4 linked regions of the Drosophila melanogaster genome follow. The protein of the gene in region 2 purifies or fractionates together with the protein of the main gene of each other region. This does not show direct contact. Each region holds a gene or a part of one and is shown on either strand. Other genes may lie near its edges. The genes, in order: Sf3b2, sima, Cand1 and ldbr.

Region 1 (5,132 bases), on a different chromosome or scaffold from region 2:
CAGCAGAGACTCCCGTTCTCCTTACTCTTGGACTCCTCAGCCTCTGATCTCCAGGCTGCAGAAAGAAAATTGGAGGTGCCGGCTGTCATCAAGAACATCGATTTGGACAGGAAATGGCGCGGCGAACGTTTTTTAATGAGTTCCGAGCAGCGTGTACGGAAACAGTTTAGATTAGATTAGTGCACGCCCTACTGGCCGAGTGGAGAAATGTTTCAAAAGTAATTATCAGATCCGGGTGGGTCCATTTTAATTGTTTTATTGGAGTACAACGAATTTGCTTACAATTTCTCCGGAATAACGACAACTACAACAACACAGCTGACGAACGTCCCTCCCTTACAGGGTGCCCCGTGTAAAGTGGGCTGCCAACTTGTTTTATGCTACCGCTATGTTTTGAACTTAGATCTCTTATCATTATTACAAAGTTTAAGAATTGTGTTATAAATAATTCCAAAATATATTTTATTTAAATTTCAATTGCAAGATTCCTCTTTTTAAGTTTTCGTCTGCCTGCCAAACACTCTCACTTTGGAAAACATTTCCCAGCCTAATGTTCTCTGAAAACTGTTCCAGGCCGCCACCAACTCCAAAATAATGAGATTTTGCGGCAACCAAAATGACTCCATCGGATTTTAAGCGACCAGCAAAGGTATCCAAGAGCTTTTGCTGATTTGCAATATTGTATATAGTCTCAGAGGTAAGTATTAGATCGTATTTCGCCACATCCCTTGATAGTTCAGCAAAATGAGACCAATCTCCAGAATATAAGGTTGTACTGTTGTCTAAAAATTTCAGCTTTTCATCTTCAGATAAAGAGTCGTCCAAATTTAGCAGGATATTTGGATATGTTATGTATTCCAGCACATCTTTGTTCTGAAAATATATGATTGCAACCAAACTATTTCAAGACTTATTGTTTGCTTACGTAGTCCTGAAAATCCACCCGTGCGCCGTGTTTCATAGCATATATACCCAGCAATCCGCAGCCACATCCCAAATCTAGGACTCTTTTCTCCTTCCAGAATGAGTCCTCGTACTTTTCGGATAGATATAGTAGAAGATCTTCAGTGCATTCCCATATTTTAGCACCGCCCTCGTAGACACCGGAAATCAGATCTGAATGATTTTCCTCAGACTTCCTGAGATCCAGGTTTACCAAGTGGGATTGCTCCTTTAAATCCTCCAGCAGAAACCCGGCCACAAGATGTTTTATCGTCATCTTTCCCACCTCCATTTCCTTGGCGTTAAGCTCATAGAAATCCATTGCCGAAATTAGGTTATCCAGTGGTTGTACTTTCTCCGAATTGTACCAATCTATATCCTTTGTGATACCCGACTCACGTTCTTCTGAATTTTCCTGCTTGCTAAAAATATCATTTTTAACGGCCTCTGGATCTTCCGAGGATTCCGCCTTCACATCAAAATTAAATTTGAACATGCTTAGAAGGTAGGGTGTTGAACTGTTTTGATTTTAGCAGATACTGCTTGTTAAATATCGTACTGAAATGGACAAATTAGCATTGTTAAACTGGTAATCTATGAAATATTTTAATATTTACCTCCTTAAATCAGCTGTCGGCAAAAACCACGCTTTTCGTACTAAGATCGCCCTGTCCTTTGCGTTGCCAGCTTGATTTAGGGTCTCGCATTTTCATATCGAATATATCGATATGTCTCGGTGGTACAAAAATATCTTGTCGCGCATCACTAGAATTGTGGTTTATAAAAAAATTTCGGCTCGGTTTGGGTTTTTAAAGATTAATTTAATTTATGGCGGACCAGTTGAACAACGAGGTGAGTTTGCTGCGAAACCCAATCGGCAAGACATCTATTGAATGCCAATCCTTCCAGCCCGGCCAACCCACGCCGCTCATGTCCATTCGCTTCGACCAGCAGCAGCACGAAAGTGCGGCGGCCAATGGAAATGAGAACGGCAATGGTAATGCCAATGGCGACGGCGATGCCTCCGAAGATGCTGTTGATGCCGAAAAAACGCCCGGAGAACTGGTCCTGCCCAAGGCCTTGGAGGACGTTCTGGCTTTGAAGGATCAAAGGGCAGCCGAGTTCACGGTGGACGCCGATTCGCAGGGTGGCAGTGGGGGTGCTACCCAGGACGGCGACGAAGCGGATGTGGGCGAGGACAGCGAGGAGGATGCGGATAACCAGGTGAACGGGAGTGCCAGCCAAAAGACCGGCAAGCAGAGCAAGGCGGAGCGTAACAAAAAGAAGAAGAAGCGAAAGAAGCAGAACAGGAAGATACGCCACCAGATTGAGTTCGCACGGCAGCAGCAGTTGGCCCAAGCGGAGGAGAACGAACCGGAGGCCAAGGACTCGGAGACAAAAGCCCATGGCAGCGAGGACGAACAGGTTGCCGAAAAGGAAAAGAAGGACAAACGCAAAGAGAGTCGCAGCAAGCGCAGGAAGGATCGTAGTGATGAGAAAGATACGGACAAAAAGGCTGGCGAGGCCAATGATGAAAATGTGACCATTGAGTAAGTCATAGCAGCTCGTTCCGAGGAACCACACTAATAAACTCTTATCCCTTTCAGATATGTGCCCGAAAAGATAACCATTGCCGATTTGGCGCCAATGTACCGCCAGTTTTATCGTGTGTTCGAAATCTTCAAGCTGGAAAACAAACCAAAGCCTGTGGAGAAGGACAAATCTTCGCACGATTCTGAGTCCCATCCCAGGGACAAAAAGGCTACAGACAAACAGCTCGAGGACGAGGACGATGACGGCGATGATGACGAAGAGCGCAAGGAAGACAAGGAGAAGCTGTCCAAGCGGAAACTTAAGAAACTGACCCGTTTGAGTGTGGCAGAACTGAAACAACTGGTCTCTCGACCTGACGTAGTGGAGATGCACGATGTCACAGCGAGAGATCCCAAACTACTGGTTCAACTGAAAGCCTATAGGAACACAGTACAAGTGCCGCGGCATTGGTGCTTCAAGCGAAAATATCTGCAGGGCAAAAGGGGTATTGAGAAGCCTCCGTTCGATCTCCCCGCCTTCATCAAAAAGACGGGCATCATGGAGATGCGCGAATCGTTGCAGGAACGAGAGGACGCCAAGACACTCAAGGCCAAGATGCGTGAACGCGTCCGTCCCAAGATGGGCAAAATTGACATTGACTACCAGAAACTTCACGATGCCTTCTTCAAGTGGCAGACCAAGCCCCGCATGACCATTCATGGCGACCTCTACTACGAGGGCAAGGAGTTTGAGACACGCCTTAAGGAAAAGAAGCCCGGAGATCTCTCCGAGGAGTTGCGCATTGCTCTGGGAATGCCCGTGGGACCCAACTCACACAAGATTCCGCCACCATGGCTCATTGCTCAACAGCGCTACGGGCCGCCGCCCTCGTATCCGAATCTTAAAATTCCTGGCCTGAATGCTCCGATCCCAGACGGAACCTCGTTCGGTTATCATGCCGGAGGTTGGGGCAAGCCGCCAGTGGATGAGAACGGAAAACCGCTGTACGGTGACGTATTTGGAACCAACATATTGGACCTTGATGTGAGTGGCAACATTCGCGTAGCACTTCTTGTTTTAATGTCATTGTTTTTTTATAGAATGGCGTAGACGAAGCTGACATTGAACGTAACCAATGGGGCGAACTGGAATCGGAGTCAGAAGAATCATCCGAGGAGGAAGAGGAAGATGGCGAGGACTTGGGCGATCAGCAGGATGAGACTGGCCTGGTAACGCCAGTAGAGGGACTAGTAACACCCTCTGGACTCACCAGTGTTCCAGCTGGCATGGAAACCCCCGAGAACATTGAGCTTCGCAAGAAGAAAATTGAAGCCGAGATGGAGGAGTAAGTGAACTAATATTTTTAAAATAACATCACGATTAAGCCCATTATTCCAACTTCTCCTAGCAACGAAACTCCTGTTCTGTATCAAGTGCTGCCTGAGAAGCGCACCGACCGCATAGGGGCTTCCATGATGGGATCAACCCATGTCTACGACGTCAGTGGCAGTGGGGCTAACAAACAGCCCCCAGTTCGATCAACCACAGATCGCGAGGGCATTGTGGAACTGGCTCTCGATCCTAGCGAATTGGACTTGGACAATGACGCAATGGCCCAGCGTTATGAGCAACAAATGCGTGAGCAGCAGAATCACCTGCAAAAGGAGGATCTGTCAGACATGTTGGCCGAACATGTGGCGCGGCAGAAATCGAAGCGCAAGCGACAGCAAACGGATCCGGCCAAGACCACAAAGAAGTACAAGGAGTTCAAGTTTTAGTTTGACAACAAGAAATACAACTTTTCCATTTGTGCGATTGTCAAGGATGTCATTAAACATAGTAAAAACTACAATAAGTTCGCGTCATTCAATTTAAATGCGAGGATTTAAAATAGGTTCTGCAAAAAGTGAAGTTAACACAAAAGATCTTATCTTGTAATTTCTATCGTAATTTGTTTATTTTGATGCAGAATCAAAATCATTTGCGTATAACTTAAAATTTGACTCGTTAGGTTTAATTCTCATTTATACATTGAAACTTATTGAGACTAAGAAATTACAATTGTGGTTCGCTGTGTGGTTTGTGCTGGGACCAGGACAGTATCTAAACCAAACGAAGCAGAGTGCAGTGGAAGGCAAGGACTGAAAAGAGAACTTGTCCAGCAACTGAGTCCAGGGCTAGCTACCTCTCCCGATCCTCCTTAAGCTAGAGCTAGAGAGTGCCACACGATGTCGATGTCGGCTTTGACTCAACGCCTGTCAGCTGGTCACTCGTCGAGCTGCTCGCTGAGTTGGGCTAGAAGAGCCGCTCGCTTCGATTCCAGCTCGCCGTCACTTAACGTCAGCTCCTCGTTTCGCGATCCAGACGACTCGACGGACTGGGCAGGACTAAGGGGCGTGCCGGATCGATTGTGCCTGTTGTGTCGCTTGTCCTTCTTAGCTCGCTTCTCCTTCTTCTTTTTCTTTGCGGGTGAGTGCGAGTTTGAGTCGTTCTGAAGTAGAGCTTGAGTTCCCGGCGATTGAATGCCTGGAACATCCGATTCGCAGGAGGACTGAAATGTAAGCCATGTTAGATAGTATAGTTGTCCAAGGACTGGGCCGACTTGCTACGTACACCTCGCAGTTTGTTCTTGCGCTTCTTTTTCTTCTTCAGCAATT
Region 2 (4,944 bases):
GCCCATTTCAGCACGTATGTACATTTATTTCCTGGCATTTTGTTCAAAATTTGCCAACGCTGCTTTATTGATCCGCTGGGATGAAAAAAGACCTGAACACGTCAGGTGGTTCACTTGGGAAAATCTGCCCGGTAACAACGCGAAAATATCAAACTTTTTTGTTAACAAACCCTAAGTACCGCCTGTCAACGGAGGAGTCGCAATCATCAAAAGTCCATCATATCAGCCGACAAAGTCACAGTACAATATGATCTATTGTCAGTCTGCCGCCTGTCTAATAATGGCTTAAGTATCTATTAAAAACAGTATTCCCGTTTTCTTTTACTGTAAGTAAATAAATTGAATAAATCGAAGCAAACTACTTAGTTGTTGAACATAATCTTCTATTATGACATATTTAAATATGAGATAGGACCCCACTAATCGATCGATTGTAAACAGAGGAAATCTTAACATAAACAAATGCTAAACTTGACTTTGCACTCGAAAGAATTTCTATTATTAAAAGAGTATTCTGAACGCCCAGATAAAACGTTGATTAGGAAACTCTGTGAAAGTGAAGAAACAATGCATTCAAATAAATCAAAAATAAATAAAACAGAAACCAGTTTAGATAAGAGGGCTTTTCATTGTCAATCAACCAACTGATGGATGGAAACCAAAGTTTGAAGCGAAACTCGAATGGCTGCTCAAATAATTATTATATAGTATTATATTACTTCGCCAGCAAAGTGAATACTAATATAGGCGTAGACCCGTGGATTTCTATATATATTATATATGCATTAATAAACACAAATCCGATAGTTGCTAGCTCGTGGCCCATAGAAAGCGGCGGAGAGTGACTTTGAATTGCATGCTAATGGCCTGCTTAAATGGTGGGATATTCGCCGGGGGGGTGGGGTTTTGGTTTGGGAGGTATGCACATACATATATATATTTTCGATCGGCCCCATTGTCTGTTCATTAGAACAGAGGCAAGTACGGCATGTTAAATATTCTGCCTGCGCCAGCAGAATTGCCTTGTTATTGCCGCTGGTGCTGCTGCTGTTGTTGTTGCTAAGTATTTCCGCTCCAAAGCAGCTCAAAACACTGAACAAAATTAAGCTATAATATTGAAAGCACACCTTAATATGTGTACTACCCTTCCGTATGATGATTATAATGATGTAGTATGCTGATCTTAAGATACCATTTTCCGCACTTTGTGTATGAAATGAGTTTGAATATGCAAACACCACGATCGCCGCACGTGGCCATCTAAGTCCTGCTGGCTTATCCGACAACACCTTAGGATACTGACCCGCTGTTGTTTGAGTTTGAATTGCGAGCATTGCGAAATGTTGGCCAAGCTACCTCCAAGTGCGCCGTATCTCCGGGCGAGATATCAGCGAAAACACATAAAATACGACTCGAAGTGCTAATGCCAAGTTCATGGGACAGTAAATCGAGGCGCAACAGCGGGTCAGGGATGTTTGGTCTCTTCTTGGGAGCACCATATTGTGGGTGGAGTTCTTCGGGCAGCGCCGTCCTGCAATTGCGTCAGTTTGGTTTCGGCTCATTAGCATGGAGATGGGCCAGCCGAATTTGGCTTAAACGTGTGCAAAACGTAAATAAACCAAATCCGACTACCATTACGAAAACATTTGCTTGCTGCGCACGTTGCATGCAAAGTTTTCAAGGAGGTGAAGTCCAGGGAAAGGGGCTGTAATCTGCGTCAATCGCCAGATAATCGTATACATCAACCAGATGGATTGTGAAACCTTCAGCAGACCCCTAACGATAACTCCTTGGGAAATACCCCACATAAAATCATCGGCGGCAGATAACAATTACACAACAGCACAACTGACAAGCAATTTACTATTTCCACGCAACAATCGAAGTGAGAGAAAAAGTCTTTTCCAGCCCACAATCTTATAAACGGTACCTCTCTTGGGAATAACCCACCGAACCTTGACTCATACGACACCTCTCTCGCGCCATAGTTCCGTCCCCCTCGCCCTATCTTTTGCTGCGTATCTAAATATTATTATAAAAGCGATTCACAAATAAGCATAGATAAGTGCAGCGCCGTTTGCTTTCGGCTCGGGTTTTACAATGGAACACGGCCAATTTTCTAGGAGCTCAGCTCGTTCAGGTGCCTCCAGGAAAATGTAAATCGCTAGCGGCATTCGGCCACCGATTCTAACTGGTTTTTGTTTTGTTTACTTGAATGAGCTAGAGCTCTCCACAGTTATGTAACAACAATTATTAAGCAAAATTGTGTAAATATTCGTACTTGAATACTATTTGATAATGAGATTAAGGAATACCCTTCGTGAAAAACGCAAAATCACAGAATTACCCAAAACAACAAATTGACCAACCACTTTGGTCGTCACTCACATGAAATCCTCGATGTCGACAAACTGGGAGAACTGGCAAGGTTGAGTGTTCGTGGGCGCGTAGCCATAGCAGTAGGCGTAGCTCCAGGGGCGGCTTTCGCGACAGGGCGTGGCCACGTTCAGAAGCGATCCCCTCTGGCGATAGAAGGCGTCCTGGGGCTGCTGCTGATGGTACGGATGGTACCTTTGCATCCCAGTGGAGGACATATTGGGGCCGAGCATAGCGCCCACGAAGGGTTGGCTTCCGGGAGCAGGGCCATTGTAGAATGACCCGTTGCCAAAGTTCACAGTGGGTTCATTGATGGGCATTGGCCCAAAAGCTGGGCCATTTCTGCTCAGCTGCCGCTGCCGCTGCGGCTTGGAATCGCACTCGTAGAAACTAGAACCGGGGATCACATCTTCGCCGTAGAACGAAATGTCGCCGGTACACGAAAAATCGCAGCTCTCGAAGGAATTAAACATTGAGTGCGCTGGAATCCGGCTAAGCCCATCGATGATGAACACACACACGCGTGCGATAAGAGCTGATAGTGTTTTGATTTGGCCACAACTTCACTGCTCCGGATATTTTGGTAGAACACGACGTACGGGAGTTCGAGCGCTAAATGAGCGAAAGGTTCCATAGCCTCGAAGCCATCATATTTATACCTGGGCAGCCGCACCAAAAAAAATCGCAAAAGAGCGGAGAGCCGACGTGAACGTCATATTCCGTGTGCTATCAGACAAGTTTGCCTATCCGGACAAGTGCGCTCCGGCCGGAGTGATAAGATAAAGTCCGGTCCGCCCGCCTCGTAGAAGCATTCAGGTGGCAGGGAGCCAGCGCTTCGGTTCTGCCCAATGGGACGATAACAGCGAATCGAGTGAGTGGCGGATTCAAATTAGAGCCATATAAATTATGTCAGTGCGCCCCACTTCAGTCGATAATTGGCTCGGACCATATAGTCTACTTTGCAGCGACGCCGGAAAATTTCCGCACGTCCAGGACCCATTTTCCGCCCATTTCCCTCGCTCACAAAGTGCAGTGCACGGCAAAGTCATGTTATAATTTTAGAATCTCTGCACCGAGAAAACAGTGCCACTCACTTCGAAGTGAAAATTTGATATAATATTCCAAAATTTTGAGTATTTAACCGCAGAACTGATGAACCATTTTTAGGTATTTCGAAAACTAACCAAAATTCGCACACACAAAATGAGAAGAAATATTAGAGAATTGATCTTTTTCACTGTGCGAGAAAAGCTGCTTGGATGACTAAATACTATCAGACTTATCCATGATTTCCCTAGTCGGCCGATAAGAACTATAACATAGGAGTTAAATATTTGGATTAGTTTGGCAAACAGCACGGAAAGTGAAACGAGATAAGGGAAGCTAGTTCCCCAGACCAAGCAAACGTAATCAAATCGCAATGTAATCAGCTCGTGGAGAAGGCAAAGGAACAGGCAGGGTCAACTTAAATCACTACGATAACCCCTTGTTTACCTGTTTATGCTACACCCGTCTATCACTAAACTATTTCGATGTTTAAATGTATTTCATATAAAAAAACAGTAAAAGTAGTTATTAACATTGTGAGCTTCTTGGGCTTCTCTTTTTGCAGATTGCCAGGAGTCCTTGTGATCGTTAGCTATGGTCTCATCTTGCATCATTCAAGGACTATCTTATAGAAGGTCTGTCAATCCTTTAGGTTGCTACAGTAACACCCGACGACGACCAATTAATTCGAAAGATGTCGTAAGAAGTTCATTGAGTTGTGGCAAGACCAGTGGTTAATACTTAATCCAAAGGAATAGCTGTTTACAACAGAACATCGTAAAGATCTTATCCATTCCCAAGAAAGAAGTTCCTTTGTTCTTGTTAATGTTGTTAGCAAAAAAATGACTTCCAAACAGGTTTCGCAATAATCTTAATCCGAAATTTTTGCTCATTTCACAAAACCTGTGGGGAATTTTCAGCGACTGATTCCAATTTATCGCCTTAAATATAAATTTAAACTTTCCCTGCCAGCAATTGCCGAATCATAACTTACACCGAATGCGATGCATATAGACCTCACACGCAACTGAACAAACGAAAAAGATTCGGAAGCTGCGCTACCTTCACGCTGTCTCCCTCACTCCGCTTATATACGTCTCTCTCGCTGCATCAAGTTCAATTTCATACAGAGAAAGAAAATTAATAGACAAATATATTGAATATGGTACAGTAAGACTAATTTATCTTTTTCTAAGAGAGCGACTGAACTTCGGATTTTACTATTTGAAATTTGATTACCAGTTATTTTTTTCAGTGCTCCAGTAGCAAGCAAGAGTGTAAGCATGTAAGGAGAAGAAGGAGAAGATCAACAATAACTCCACGAGCCTAATACTTGAATACAATGCCATCCATCTTTCTCTTTCTCCCTACATATACAATATATATGTAGTAGCACCATAACACCCCCTCGGGCGTTTCCATCCTCCCCGGATCGTCACATTTTTAGTTCGATTGCGCAAAAAGTAGGTCGTCGTGGCCAGACATGAAACAACAACAACAACAACAATAACAACAGCAGGG
Region 3 (6,871 bases), on a different chromosome or scaffold from region 2:
GACGAGAAACCTTTCTGCAGCAATGTAAAAAAAACTGGATACATTACTGTGCCGCAGTGTTGCCAACTGTTGGCCACCAGAAAAAAGCCAGACGTCATTTAGCGGGAAAAGGCTAACAAGATGCAAACAAAAGCTAGCTAGCTGGGAAAATATTTTGGTTTACTGAACAAAAATGTTTAATTCCCAAATAAATATAAACTTTTCATATTAGGCAAACACAGAGGAAACCCTAAAAATAGATTAGAATTATTCCACCAAATATCAAATTCAATATAAACGGAGTGAATATACTTAAGCCCCGCGAATGCTGATAAATATCAAGAGACAAAAGGTGGAAGCAATAAACTCTGTTTACATTCACAACTGAACTCCAAAGCTCCATAAATTAATCTCCCAGTTAGTTTTTATAGTTGCTTTAATTCAAAATCACTTCCAAACGAGGTACATCGTACACATATAATTGCCTGTTGGAGGCTTAATGTCGGTTCTTAAACTACTAAATATATTGTAGCGTAAAAAAAATATTTTTCACAAATGTGATTCGAGACAACAAACTTGGATAGCTAATGGTATAACAGTTTCTCTTAGCATAACATTAATAAATAATTAATTAGTAGTACAAAGATACCTAGCTAAAAAATATTAAACTACAATTAATCATAGAACTTTTAAACAAGGATCTAAAATAGAACATCAATGCCTTCCAAGTTAGGCAATGGGGGATATAAATTTAATAAGTATTCAGGCTCTGCAGGCTCCATGTTTTCTGTGTTGTATATGTATGGCAGGTCAGTAAAATCTAGGGGCGGAAGGCATCTGTTTTCCAAATTATTTTCCAATGTGCGCAGATCAAGATAAAGTTGATCCAATAGTCCTTCATAGCCCTCTTGATTTTCCGACCAGGTCTCTGTGACCGCTGTAATAATACAACTTATAGTACAATTTTCAAGGGGAGTTGTTTAATATGAGCGGTACTTACGCTTGCTGCAGTTCTTCAAACATTTCTCGTTCGGAAAGTCAGTGTAGTTGAACAAATTGACGACTCTGTATTCGCAATTCAATACGTAGGCGCCCAAAAAGCAGCTATTTGTTTTATACCTAACTTCCTCGCGATCCCTGCTGACCACATTTTGTTTGGGGGCCTTTCGCAGCGAAAGCTTGGCAATACTACCCTCGAGTTTCAGAGAAGTGCTTTTGAACGGGGTTATTCCAGGAGTTTGGTGCATCACATTGTCAAGGTTACCAAGAGGTTTCTTCAATACGGAATTTGTAGGAACTCCATTTTTAATGGGATTCGCTGGCACTGCAATGATAAATGGCTATGTAATTACTAACACGAACGGGAGTCGAACCTAATTCAACTTACAATTAATGCCGGTGTTTTCCTTGTTTAAAATCTGATCCATTTTGTTAGCATTTATTGGTGTTAAAAAGGTATTTTGATTGAATTCTAGCAGTGAGCTGCGGTTTAGTTTAAAATAATTCCTGAAAACGAGCGGCACTTTTCTAGAGATGGGAGACTCTTAGTGCCACATAGCTGATATATCGTTCATCTGAAACGATGGTAATGACACAAAGTATTTTACTAGTAAATAAATTGGGAATTAATATTTGATAATATATATATTTATATTTTGATTGTCATGTATTAACTCAAAAATAAAATAACCTAAATATAAAAATTTACTAGTACATAAAATCTTGTTCCAAAATATTTCTCCACCGTATTTTATACCACGAAAATGTACCAAAACCATTATCGGCATCCAAAAGGCATTAGGGATTATAAAGTGGGTTTTTTAGTTTTTCAAAGTGGGCCCACTTAAGCAGCCTTTATAACAAAATTGAGTGAATATAAAACTTGGAGATTCAATACCGGAAAAATTTCAGTAAATTTTCAAGTTTTAGAACACCAAAAATAGGGCAGCCCAATACAAATACACAATATTTCACTTATCAGTTAATTGCTATCGATCGAACGTTTCAAAGCCTTCGCTATGGCGTCACATCAGTACCACCAAATTGCCAATTTGCTGGAAAAAGTATGTATAGAATTTCATTTTTGCAACATAACGAAATTCTAATTCCGCTCTCTCGTCTGCTGCAGATGACGTCGACGGACAAGGACTTCCGTTTCATGGCGACAAACGATCTGATGACGGAGCTACAGAAGGATAGCATCATCCTGGACGACGAGTCCGAGAAAAAGGTGGTGCGAATGGTGCTCAAGCTGCTGGAAGACAAGAACGGCGAAGTTCAGAACCTGGCTGTCAAGTGCCTGGGTCCCCTGGTCAACAAGGTGAAGGAGATCCAGGTGGAGACCATCGTGGACTCGCTGTGCGCCAACATGATGTCCAACACGGAGCAGCTGCGCGACATATCGAGTATTGGCCTAAAGACAGTGATTGCCGAGCTGCCGCAGTCCTCAAACTCCCTGGCCCCAAATGTCTGTCAAAGGATCACCGGCAAACTGAGCACAGCAATTGAGAAGGTGCGTTATATTGCTATTCCCTAGGCACCCAAACGTTTAATCCGTTGTTCCTTAATAGGAGGACGTCTCTGTGAAACTGGAGTCGCTGGACATTCTGGCCGATCTGCTCTCTCGCTTCGGGGAGTTCCTCGTTCCCTTCCACAGCACCATTCTGAAAGCTCTGATGCCCCAGTTGGCCTCATCGCGCCAGGCTGTTCGCAAGCGTACCATCGTGGCCCTGTCATTTCTGCTGATCCAGGCCAATAGCAACGCCTACAACGGTGTCATCGATCATCTGCTCGATGGCCTAGAGAACCCACCAAATCCAGCTGCCATTCGAACTTACATTCAGTGCCTGGCTTCGATATGGTAAGTTCCAATTCCTGAAATTGTTATATATTTTATGCCATATGATCTTTAGATGCAATTTTATTTAACTTTACTCTTTAGTCGACAGGCTGGCCATCGACTTTGCAATCACATTGATCGCTCCATGCTCCTGCTGAGCCAGTACAGCCAGCGGGATGACGATGAGCTGCGCGAGTTTTGTCTGCAGGCCTGCGAAGCTTTCGTCATGCGCTGCCCAGATGCCATAAACCCGCATATTCCCATGGTAAGGAGTACACATGCTTTATGTTCTCATTCACGTTTAATAGCTTATGGGTTTTGTTAGATCCTGGAGCTGTGCCTCAACTATATCACCTACGATCCAAACTACAACTACGAGACGGATGATGGCGACACTGGCAATGCCATGGACACGGAGGATGATGAGTACGTCGATAGTGAGGAGTACAGTGACGACGACGACATGAGCTGGAAGGTTCGTCGCGCTGCAGCCAAGTGTCTGGAGGTCTTGATATCCACACGGCAGGAGCTCGTCGAGGACTTCTATCGCAGCCTGAGTCCGGCTTTGATTGCGCGCTTCAAGGAGCGTGAGGAGAATGTTAAGTCCGACATATTTCACGCCTATGTGGCCCTGCTAAAGAACACACGCCTCACCGACGACGTGGCCAACGACCACGACTCAATGGATCAGGTATCGGGTCCGACCTCGCTGTTAATTGAGCAGCTGCCACTCATTGTGAAAGCCATACAGCCGTTAATGAGGGAAAAATCGATGAAAACGCGTCAAGACTGCTTCCTCTTGCTGCGCGAGCTGTTGAATTCGCTACCAGGTGCCCTGGGACCCTACTTGGACAGCATTGTGCCAGGCATAAGCTATTCGCTGAATGACAAAAGCTCTACCAGCAACATGAAGATCGAATCTCTGGGATTCCTTTACTCGCTGCTCCAAGGACATCCGCCGCATGTCTTTCATCCACATATTCCCCTACTGGTGCCCCTCGTAGTGACTTCGGTCTTCGATCCTTTCTATAAGATTGCCACCGAGGCGCTTTTGGTGCTGCAGCAGTTGGTAAAGGTGATTCGTCCATTAGAACCGAATGCGGCCAAGTCCGACTTTGATGCCCCATCGTTTGTGGGTCAGGTTTACTCGTGCACATTGCAGAAACTGAAAGTGACGGATGTCGACCAGGAGGTAAAGGAGCGAGCCATAGCCTGCATGGGGCAGATTATCGCCAACATGGGCGACATGCTGCAGAATGAGCTGGCGGTTTGCCTGCCAATCTTCATGGAGCGCCTAAAGAACGAAGTAACCCGTTTGAGCAGCGTGAAGGCGTTGACCCTGATCGCAGCTTCGTCCCTGCGCATAGATCTGACACCCATCCTGCACGACGTGTTGCCCGCATTGGGCACATTCCTGCGTAAGAACCACCGCGCCCTCAAGCTGCACTCCCTCGATCTGATCAACAAGATCGTCATCAACTATTCGAGCAACTTCGAGGCGAACCTTCTGCAGACAGCCATAGTTGAGATCCCACCGCTTATATCGGATTCGGATTTGCACGTAGCCCAGTACTCTCTGACGCTTTTGAGCACCGTAGCTCGCAGGCAGCCCCAAGCTCTGGTCGGCATACATGAGCAGTTCTTGCGCTCCGTGCTCATTTTGGTTCGATCTCCTTTGCTGCAGGTGGGTGAATTTTAATTAACAGCTGAGTAATTAGCAAAACTAATAACTGATTTCTTTGCTACAGGGATCCGCATTGAATTGCACGTTGGAGCTGTTCCAGGCCTTGGTGCAAACACAGCTGTCTGGCCTGGACTATCATTCGCTCGTTTCGAAGCTAATGGCACCAGTTCTGGGTGGCAACGGTGACGTCAAATCCAGAGCCACTGCCGGCGCTCCCAGTGAGGTGGTGCAGCTGCACAAGCAGGCCTATCACTCATCGGCCAAGTGCATTGCTGCCTTAACACAGCAGTGTCCCCAGGTGGCGACCCCATTGGCCACAAAGCTGATAACGGATCTGCAGAAGCGTAACGATACGGAAATCATATTCTGTTTGCTCACCATCGGTGAGATTGGCAGGCACTTTGATCTGAGCTCCATACAGGTGCTGCCGCAGACAATTATTGAATGCTTTGGGGCCACCTCGGAGGATGTAAAGGCTGCAGCCTCGCATGCTCTCGGCGCTGTGTCCGTGGGCAGCCTGCAGACATACCTGCCTCTGATTCTGCACGAGATTGAGGTGCAGCCGAAGAGACAGTATTTGCTGCTACATTCGCTTAAGGAGGTCATTTCATCGCTATCGGTATCGCCCAGCGGACTCGCCCAGCTCCTACCCTCGGTGCCATCCATTTGGGATCAGCTCTTCAAGCATTGCGAGTGTTCGGAGGAGGGATCACGCAACGTGGTGGCCGAGTGCCTGGGCAAACTGGTGCTGGTCAATCCCGACGAGCTGCTGCCGCAACTGCAGCAGGCATTGCGTTCCGAAAGCGCCACCATGCGCACCGTTGTTGTCTCCTCAGTAAAGTTTACCATCTCCGATCAGCCGCAGCCCATTGATGTTCTGCTCAAGCAGAACATTGGCGAGTTTCTATTTGCCCTGCGAGATCCGGAGCCCCAAGTGAGACGCGTCGCACTAGTAGCCTTCAATTCGGCGGTACACAACAAGCCCAGTTTGGTGCGCGATTTGCTGCCCACCCTTTTGCCTTGGCTCTACTCGGAGACGAAGGTGAAGAGCGAACTGATTAGGGAGGTGGAGATGGGTCCCTTCAAGCACACCGTCGACGACGGTCTCGACATTCGCAAAGCGGCATTTGAATGCATGTACACACTTCTCGAGCAGGGCTTGGATCGTGTGGATGTCATGCAGTTCCTGGACCATGTCCAGGCTGGTCTGTGCGACCACTACGACATCAAGATGCTGACGTACCTGATGACGGCACGTCTGGCCATCTTGTGCCCGGATAAGGTTCTGCTAAGTGAGTAGTACCAAAGCCTTGATTACTTGAGATCTCTTATTCACTTTGCTCAATTCTTTCAGGACTCGATCAATTTATACAGCAACTACGTGATACGTGCACCCACAAGGTGAAGGCCAACTCTGTGAAACAGGAGTACGAAAAGCAGGACGAACTCAAGCGTTCTGCCCTTCGTGCAGTCTCGGCCCTTTCGCAAATACCCAAAGCAAGTAAGTAAAAATATTGAAGAACATTGTATCTGAAAATAAACTAATTGAAATTCCTCTTCAATAGACAAAAATCAGCAGTTAGTGGATTTCCTCAAGTCGATCAAAGAAACACCGGAATTAAACAAGATCTTCGAGTACATACAGAAGGATTCCATCACCGGTAGCTCAGATATTATAGTAATGGATCAGAGTTAAAAGGGAAACTTGGTTTCAAATTCCTTTACTTAATTAAGAATATGCGTTTGCGCACAAACAAGTATCTCTTTTTCTGATATAGCTTTTAAATTTTCTAATAAGAAATAAATGCAGATCGACTTGAAAGAGTTAATTAGTAAACAGTAAACCACTCCCAAAAACTACCGACAACCAAAAACAAACAAATGCCGTATTGAGTACTGTGTTTATGAATTTTACTAAAAGTTTATTGATTGGTTTAGCATTTTAACGAGGGAGAATGATGGATGATAGGATCCATTTGCTCTTCCTGAAAGAGACTAGCTCTTCAATCAGATAACGATAATTCCAGTTCATCCTCTCTTAACTAAGAGCAACTGATTACGTAAAGGCTTTTAAACATTAATGATGCAATATTAATAATGCTCAATCATGAGAAAGTCGACATGGTGTATTTGGAAAGTGTATATTCTGTGGAAAACTGAATTATTCAAATTGTTTCGAACTTATGATTGAATTTTGGTCTATAGGAAGGTGGAAATTTAGGCTGCCTGCTTGCTTCTCTTCTTCTCGCACTCCTCGGGCACGGCTTTGCCGGAGGTGACGCCGCCGTCCGACGCGGGTCCCGTTTCGGAAACAGTCTCTGGAGGATGTTCAAGCACGTGGTCAATGATGCCCAGCACTTTTGCCTCCT
Region 4 (4,037 bases), on a different chromosome or scaffold from region 2:
AAGTGGTAATCGCGGCACTCTACTATAATCCCCAGTTGCTGCTGTCCATTCTGGACAAAATGTCCCAGCAAAACAACGACTCTATCAGCGCGCACTTTATCAAGCAGTGGCTTCACGACACGGACTGTTTCCTAGGGTAAGAATGGACATGCTTTTTAATGATCTAGATAGTTTATTGTTACGTTTTCCAGCATCCACGATCGCAAACTTTGCGTCCTGGGTCTGTGCACCCTCATCTCGCTGGGCGAAGCCAAGCCCCAGGTTCTGAGCGAAGTGGCTGGAAAGATTGTGCCCGCACTTATTTTGCTTTTCGATGGTCTAAAACGCGCCTACGAGTCTCGTGCTCAGGAGGAAGAGGAAGATGAGGAGGAGGAGGACGGTGACGACTGTGAGGAGGCTCTGTCCAGTGACGAGGATGACATGGACGAAATGGCACCGGACTATCTGGATAAATTGGCCGAATTTGCCAAAACCAAGGGCAATGAGTCGGGCTTCGAAGTGAAAGCCGAAATCAAGGACGACGATGCTGACTCGGACGGTGACGCCGAGGAGTCTGTGGGTGATCTGAACGAGACTGGACTGGAGTCGTTTACCACGCCCATCGACGATGAGGAGAACGAAAGCGCCATCGATGAGTACTGGACGTTTAAGGAAGTTATTACTGGTAAGTTGTGCTGAATTTTGTACACCATTGGAAAACTAACTAATAACCTAATCTTCGCCATCAGCACTTTCTGCACAAGACCAAGCCTGGTATGCGCTGTTGACCTCCAACCTCACACCTGAGCAAGCCAAGGCGCTGCAAGAGGTGGTGGTGACGGCTGACCAACGCAAAGCCGCCAAGGAATCGAAGCTGATCGAGAAGCAAGGTGGCTTCGCCTTTCCGCAGACTGCCGTGCCCACGTCGTTTAAGTTCGGCTCCTAAGAAACTGAATTGACCAGATCACCAGACACTTGGTTCGATTTCTGACTTGATTGTTTCTCATATTCTTTCCAAAAATAACAAAAACATCAAACAAAATACATCTGGCATGCTGATGATGGCTTTGAAGGCATTCTCTTGGTTTTCGTACACTCCGTGTACCCATGTATGCTGCGACAATCGGTCGATTAATCAGATTAAAAAATCGATCGGTCGAGCGGCGACGAGACCGCACTATATTTATTGTAGATTTATATTTTATTTCCTATTTTGTGGCCAGGGCGGCCAACTAAATTATGATAACTTAAGTCCATTGTAAATCTTTGTATGTAAACGAAACGAAACGAAACGAAAAACAAACACGTCAGGACGAGAAGGTCTCATTAAATGAGATTGTGCCCACCAGCACGCCCCCGTAGAACTCCAAAAAAAAGTTGGCATCTAGGTCAGAGAATGAGAATTCAACGCAGAGCATTTCACATACATTTTCTTTATACACACATACACGTATATTCTGTACTAAATGAAGCGATATTTTTGAAAAATAAAAAAAAAAAATTTTTAACGTTTGAACTGGAGAAATCTTTTTCTTATTTGTGTACCTTTTTGTGAGGTATTTAAACCGTTCAGGGAACGAATTTTATAAGTACATCTAATATATATAATTATATTTAATAATGCTAAGTGCTGAAAGACTTTGTTTCCGGAAGATTTCAGCAGTTTAAATATTGGCGGTCATTAAGTAGAGTTATCGATAAGAGCGTCCATCCTGTCGTTCCCCAAAGACGTTTTCTCACACTGAATTGCCGATCGATAAGCGATATCAGAACGCGTTATTTGTTTGGACAACCGGTTGCATTTGTTTACAACCAAGTTTTATTTATAAAGTAGTAACTTACCTTTATTAACCATGAAAATAGCTGTCGAAGGATGTGCACATGGCGAGCTGGAACGAATATACGACACCATAGAGGGCATCGAAAAGGTTGGCGGCACCAAGATCGACTTGTTATTGTGCTGTGGCGATTTTCAGTCCACCCGGAATCTGGAGGATTTGCAGACGATGGCTGTACCAAAGAAGTACCTGGATATGTGCTCCTTTTACAAGTGAGTAGAGTTTCGACAGCTTGTGGATCAGGAGGTAATCCATTTATTTTTAAAGATACTACAGTGGCGAGCTGGTAGCACCAGTGCTGACCATATTCATTGGCGGCAACCATGAGGCCTCCAATTACCTGCAGGAGCTCCCATACGGCGGTTGGGTGGCTCCAAATATTTACTACCTTGGTTATGCCGGCGTCGTCAATGTAAACGGTGTTCGGATAGCTGGAATAAGCGGAATCTTCAAGGGTCACGACTTTTTGCGCGGCCATCACGAATTCCCTCCGTATACCGATTCCACGTGTCGCAGTGTCTACCATGTGCGGCAGCTAGAAGTCTTTCGGCTGAAACAAATTTCCGGGCGAGTTGATATTTTCCTGTCCCACGACTGGCCCACCGGCATCTATGAATACGGAAACAAGGCGCAACTGCTCCGCAAGAAACCATTTTTTGCTGCAGACATGGAAAGCGGGAAGCTGGGTAGCCAGCCACTGGAGGAGTTACTGAAAGCGGTCCAACCGGCCTACTGGTTTGCTGCCCATTTGCATTGCAAGTTTGCCGCTTTGGTGCCGCACAATCACAGCCAGAAGCTAGGAGATGCTGAATCTTCCTCTTCCAGCAGCAGCAGTGAAGATGAAGACGAGGAAAGGGAGAAGGTAAAGAAAGCTGCTCCTGTACCTCCACCATCCAAATCTGTTCCCGTGACCAAGTTTCTGGCTCTCGACAAATGCCTGCCACGTCGTGCTTTCCTGCAAGTGGTAGAGGTACCCAGTGACCCCATCGAAGGCACTCCCCGCCTGGAATACGACGCAGAGTGGCTAGCCATCTTGCACAGTACAAATCACTTGATTTCAGTGAAGGAGAATTATTATTACCTGCCCGGAAAAAAGGCGGGAGAGTTTACAGAGCGATCAAACTTTACCCCCACTGAAGAAGAACTAGAAGCAGTGACCGCAAAGTTTCAGAAACTTCAAGTCCCCGAGAACTTTGAGCGCACAGTGCCAGCTTTCGATCCCGCGGAGCAGTCTGATTATAAGCACATGTTTGTGGATCAACCCAAGGTTCAACTAAACCCCCAGAGCAATACGTTCTGTGCCACTCTGGGTATAGACGATCCGCTGTGCTTAGTTTTGTTGGCGAATGGCCTAGATCTGCCTGCGGTGGGAGCTACCGAATGCAAGGATAGGGAAACAAAAAGTTCTAAGCTGCAGGCGGTGGAAGAAGACGTGGCTGAACCATTGGTTACGCCAACTAAAAGGAAACTTAACTTATCCCTGCCAGCACCTACAACTGCAGCAGCTGATACCACCGATGAAAACGTGATAGACCTGCCCGAGGAGGAAGCTGAAGAAGCAATTATAGCAACGGAAACGCCTCATGTAGAGGAACCTGCATCAGTGCCCGCTAGTCCCAATGTGAAAAAACTTAAGCGACGCAATCAGAACATTTACCAAGCGCAAGAAGATTAAACCCAAACAAATTCCGTGAAAGCGGAGCGATTTATACAAAAAAAGGAGGCAATTTTATTTAAATAACACAGAAGATACTTGGCTGATACGATCAGCCAACGGTTGATTATGGGCAAATAAATAGGAGGGTGTTAGCTGCTGGGAAGCGAGATAACGACTCACTGTGTCCCGCTGGCATTATCGGCATAGACCTCGTCGGCGCACTGAAAAGCGGCCTGCATCACCGATTCGGGCGTGTCCACAACATCGCAATAGTATGTATCCGGTGATGGGATGCAGTGCAGCTGCACCTGGCTGCCCTCTGCCGTGGCGCGATAGAAGCGACACTGTCGCGGTCCATATGTTGGCATATCCGCATCGTATGGCGGACTAAGAATGTCGAAGAAAGCGGCTACGCCGCTACCAATTTGGGCAATCTGGTGGTAATTTCTCTTTCTAGGAGTCAATGTGGCACACGGACTAGCCGGCGTGACCAATTTGGGTTCCTCGACATTCACCTTCACCACTGTTTGATGGGGGTCATAGGTGAGCGGCTCATCCGGGCC

Evidence for each region.
Region 1: the proteins of sima (region 2) and Sf3b2 purify together in Drosophila melanogaster (affinity purification with mass spectrometry, with the first as the bait; one large-scale study listed by BioGRID). This does not show direct contact.
Region 3: the proteins of sima (region 2) and Cand1 purify together in Drosophila melanogaster (affinity purification with mass spectrometry, with the first as the bait; one large-scale study listed by BioGRID). This does not show direct contact.
Region 4: the proteins of sima (region 2) and ldbr purify together in Drosophila melanogaster (affinity purification with mass spectrometry, with the first as the bait; one large-scale study listed by BioGRID). This does not show direct contact.

What each region holds. Positions count from the first base shown.
Region 1 is NT_033779.5:3,025,726-3,030,857, reverse strand, and holds Sf3b2 (splicing factor 3b subunit 2), read left to right. Parts: upstream 1-1,689; 5' UTR 1,690-1,770; coding exon 1,771-1,794; intron 1,795-1,851; coding exon 1,852-2,492; intron 2,493-2,549; coding exon 2,550-3,519; intron 3,520-3,575; coding exon 3,576-3,820; intron 3,821-3,883; coding exon 3,884-4,253; 3' UTR 4,254-4,606; downstream 4,607-5,132. Other genes in the region: GABPI (beta4GalNAcTB pilot), read right to left, coding at 1-98; CG17219 (uncharacterized protein), read right to left, coding at 463-873, 926-1,438; Prp40 (pre-mRNA processing factor 40), read right to left, coding at 4,742-5,026, 5,089-5,132.
Region 2 is NT_033777.3:30,060,983-30,065,926, reverse strand, and holds the start of sima (uncharacterized protein), read right to left. Parts: upstream 3,006-4,944; 5' UTR 2,850-3,005; coding exon 2,389-2,849; intron 1-2,388. UniProt on the Drosophila melanogaster protein: Functions as a transcriptional regulator of the adaptive response to hypoxia. Binds to core DNA sequence 5'-[AG]CGTG-3' within the hypoxia response element (HRE) of target gene promoters.
Region 3 is NT_033779.5:10,357,634-10,364,504, reverse strand, and holds Cand1 (Cullin-associated and neddylation-dissociated 1), read left to right. Parts: upstream 1-1,797; 5' UTR 1,798-1,997; coding exon 1,998-2,042; intron 2,043-2,107; coding exon 2,108-2,491; intron 2,492-2,549; coding exon 2,550-2,839; intron 2,840-2,920; coding exon 2,921-3,083; intron 3,084-3,143; coding exon 3,144-4,502; intron 4,503-4,566; coding exon 4,567-5,794; intron 5,795-5,856; coding exon 5,857-6,003; intron 6,004-6,067; coding exon 6,068-6,198; 3' UTR 6,199-6,371; downstream 6,372-6,871. Other genes in the region: pim (pimples), read right to left, coding at 681-916, 980-1,303, 1,367-1,406; ClpP (caseinolytic protease proteolytic subunit), read right to left, coding at 6,720-6,871. UniProt on the Drosophila melanogaster protein: Key assembly factor of SCF (SKP1-CUL1-F-box protein) E3 ubiquitin ligase complexes that promotes the exchange of the substrate-recognition F-box subunit in SCF complexes, thereby playing a key role in the cellular repertoire of SCF complexes.
Region 4 is NT_037436.4:8,120,087-8,124,123, forward strand, and holds ldbr (lariat debranching enzyme), read left to right. Parts: upstream 1-1,740; 5' UTR 1,741-1,832; coding exon 1,833-2,029; intron 2,030-2,084; coding exon 2,085-3,492; 3' UTR 3,493-3,529; downstream 3,530-4,037. Other genes in the region: msk (moleskin), read left to right, coding at 1-136, 192-664, 729-925; CG7550 (uncharacterized protein), read right to left, coding at 3,651-4,037. UniProt on the Drosophila melanogaster protein: Cleaves the 2'-5' phosphodiester linkage at the branch point of lariat intron pre-mRNAs after splicing and converts them into linear molecules that are subsequently degraded. It thereby facilitates ribonucleotide turnover.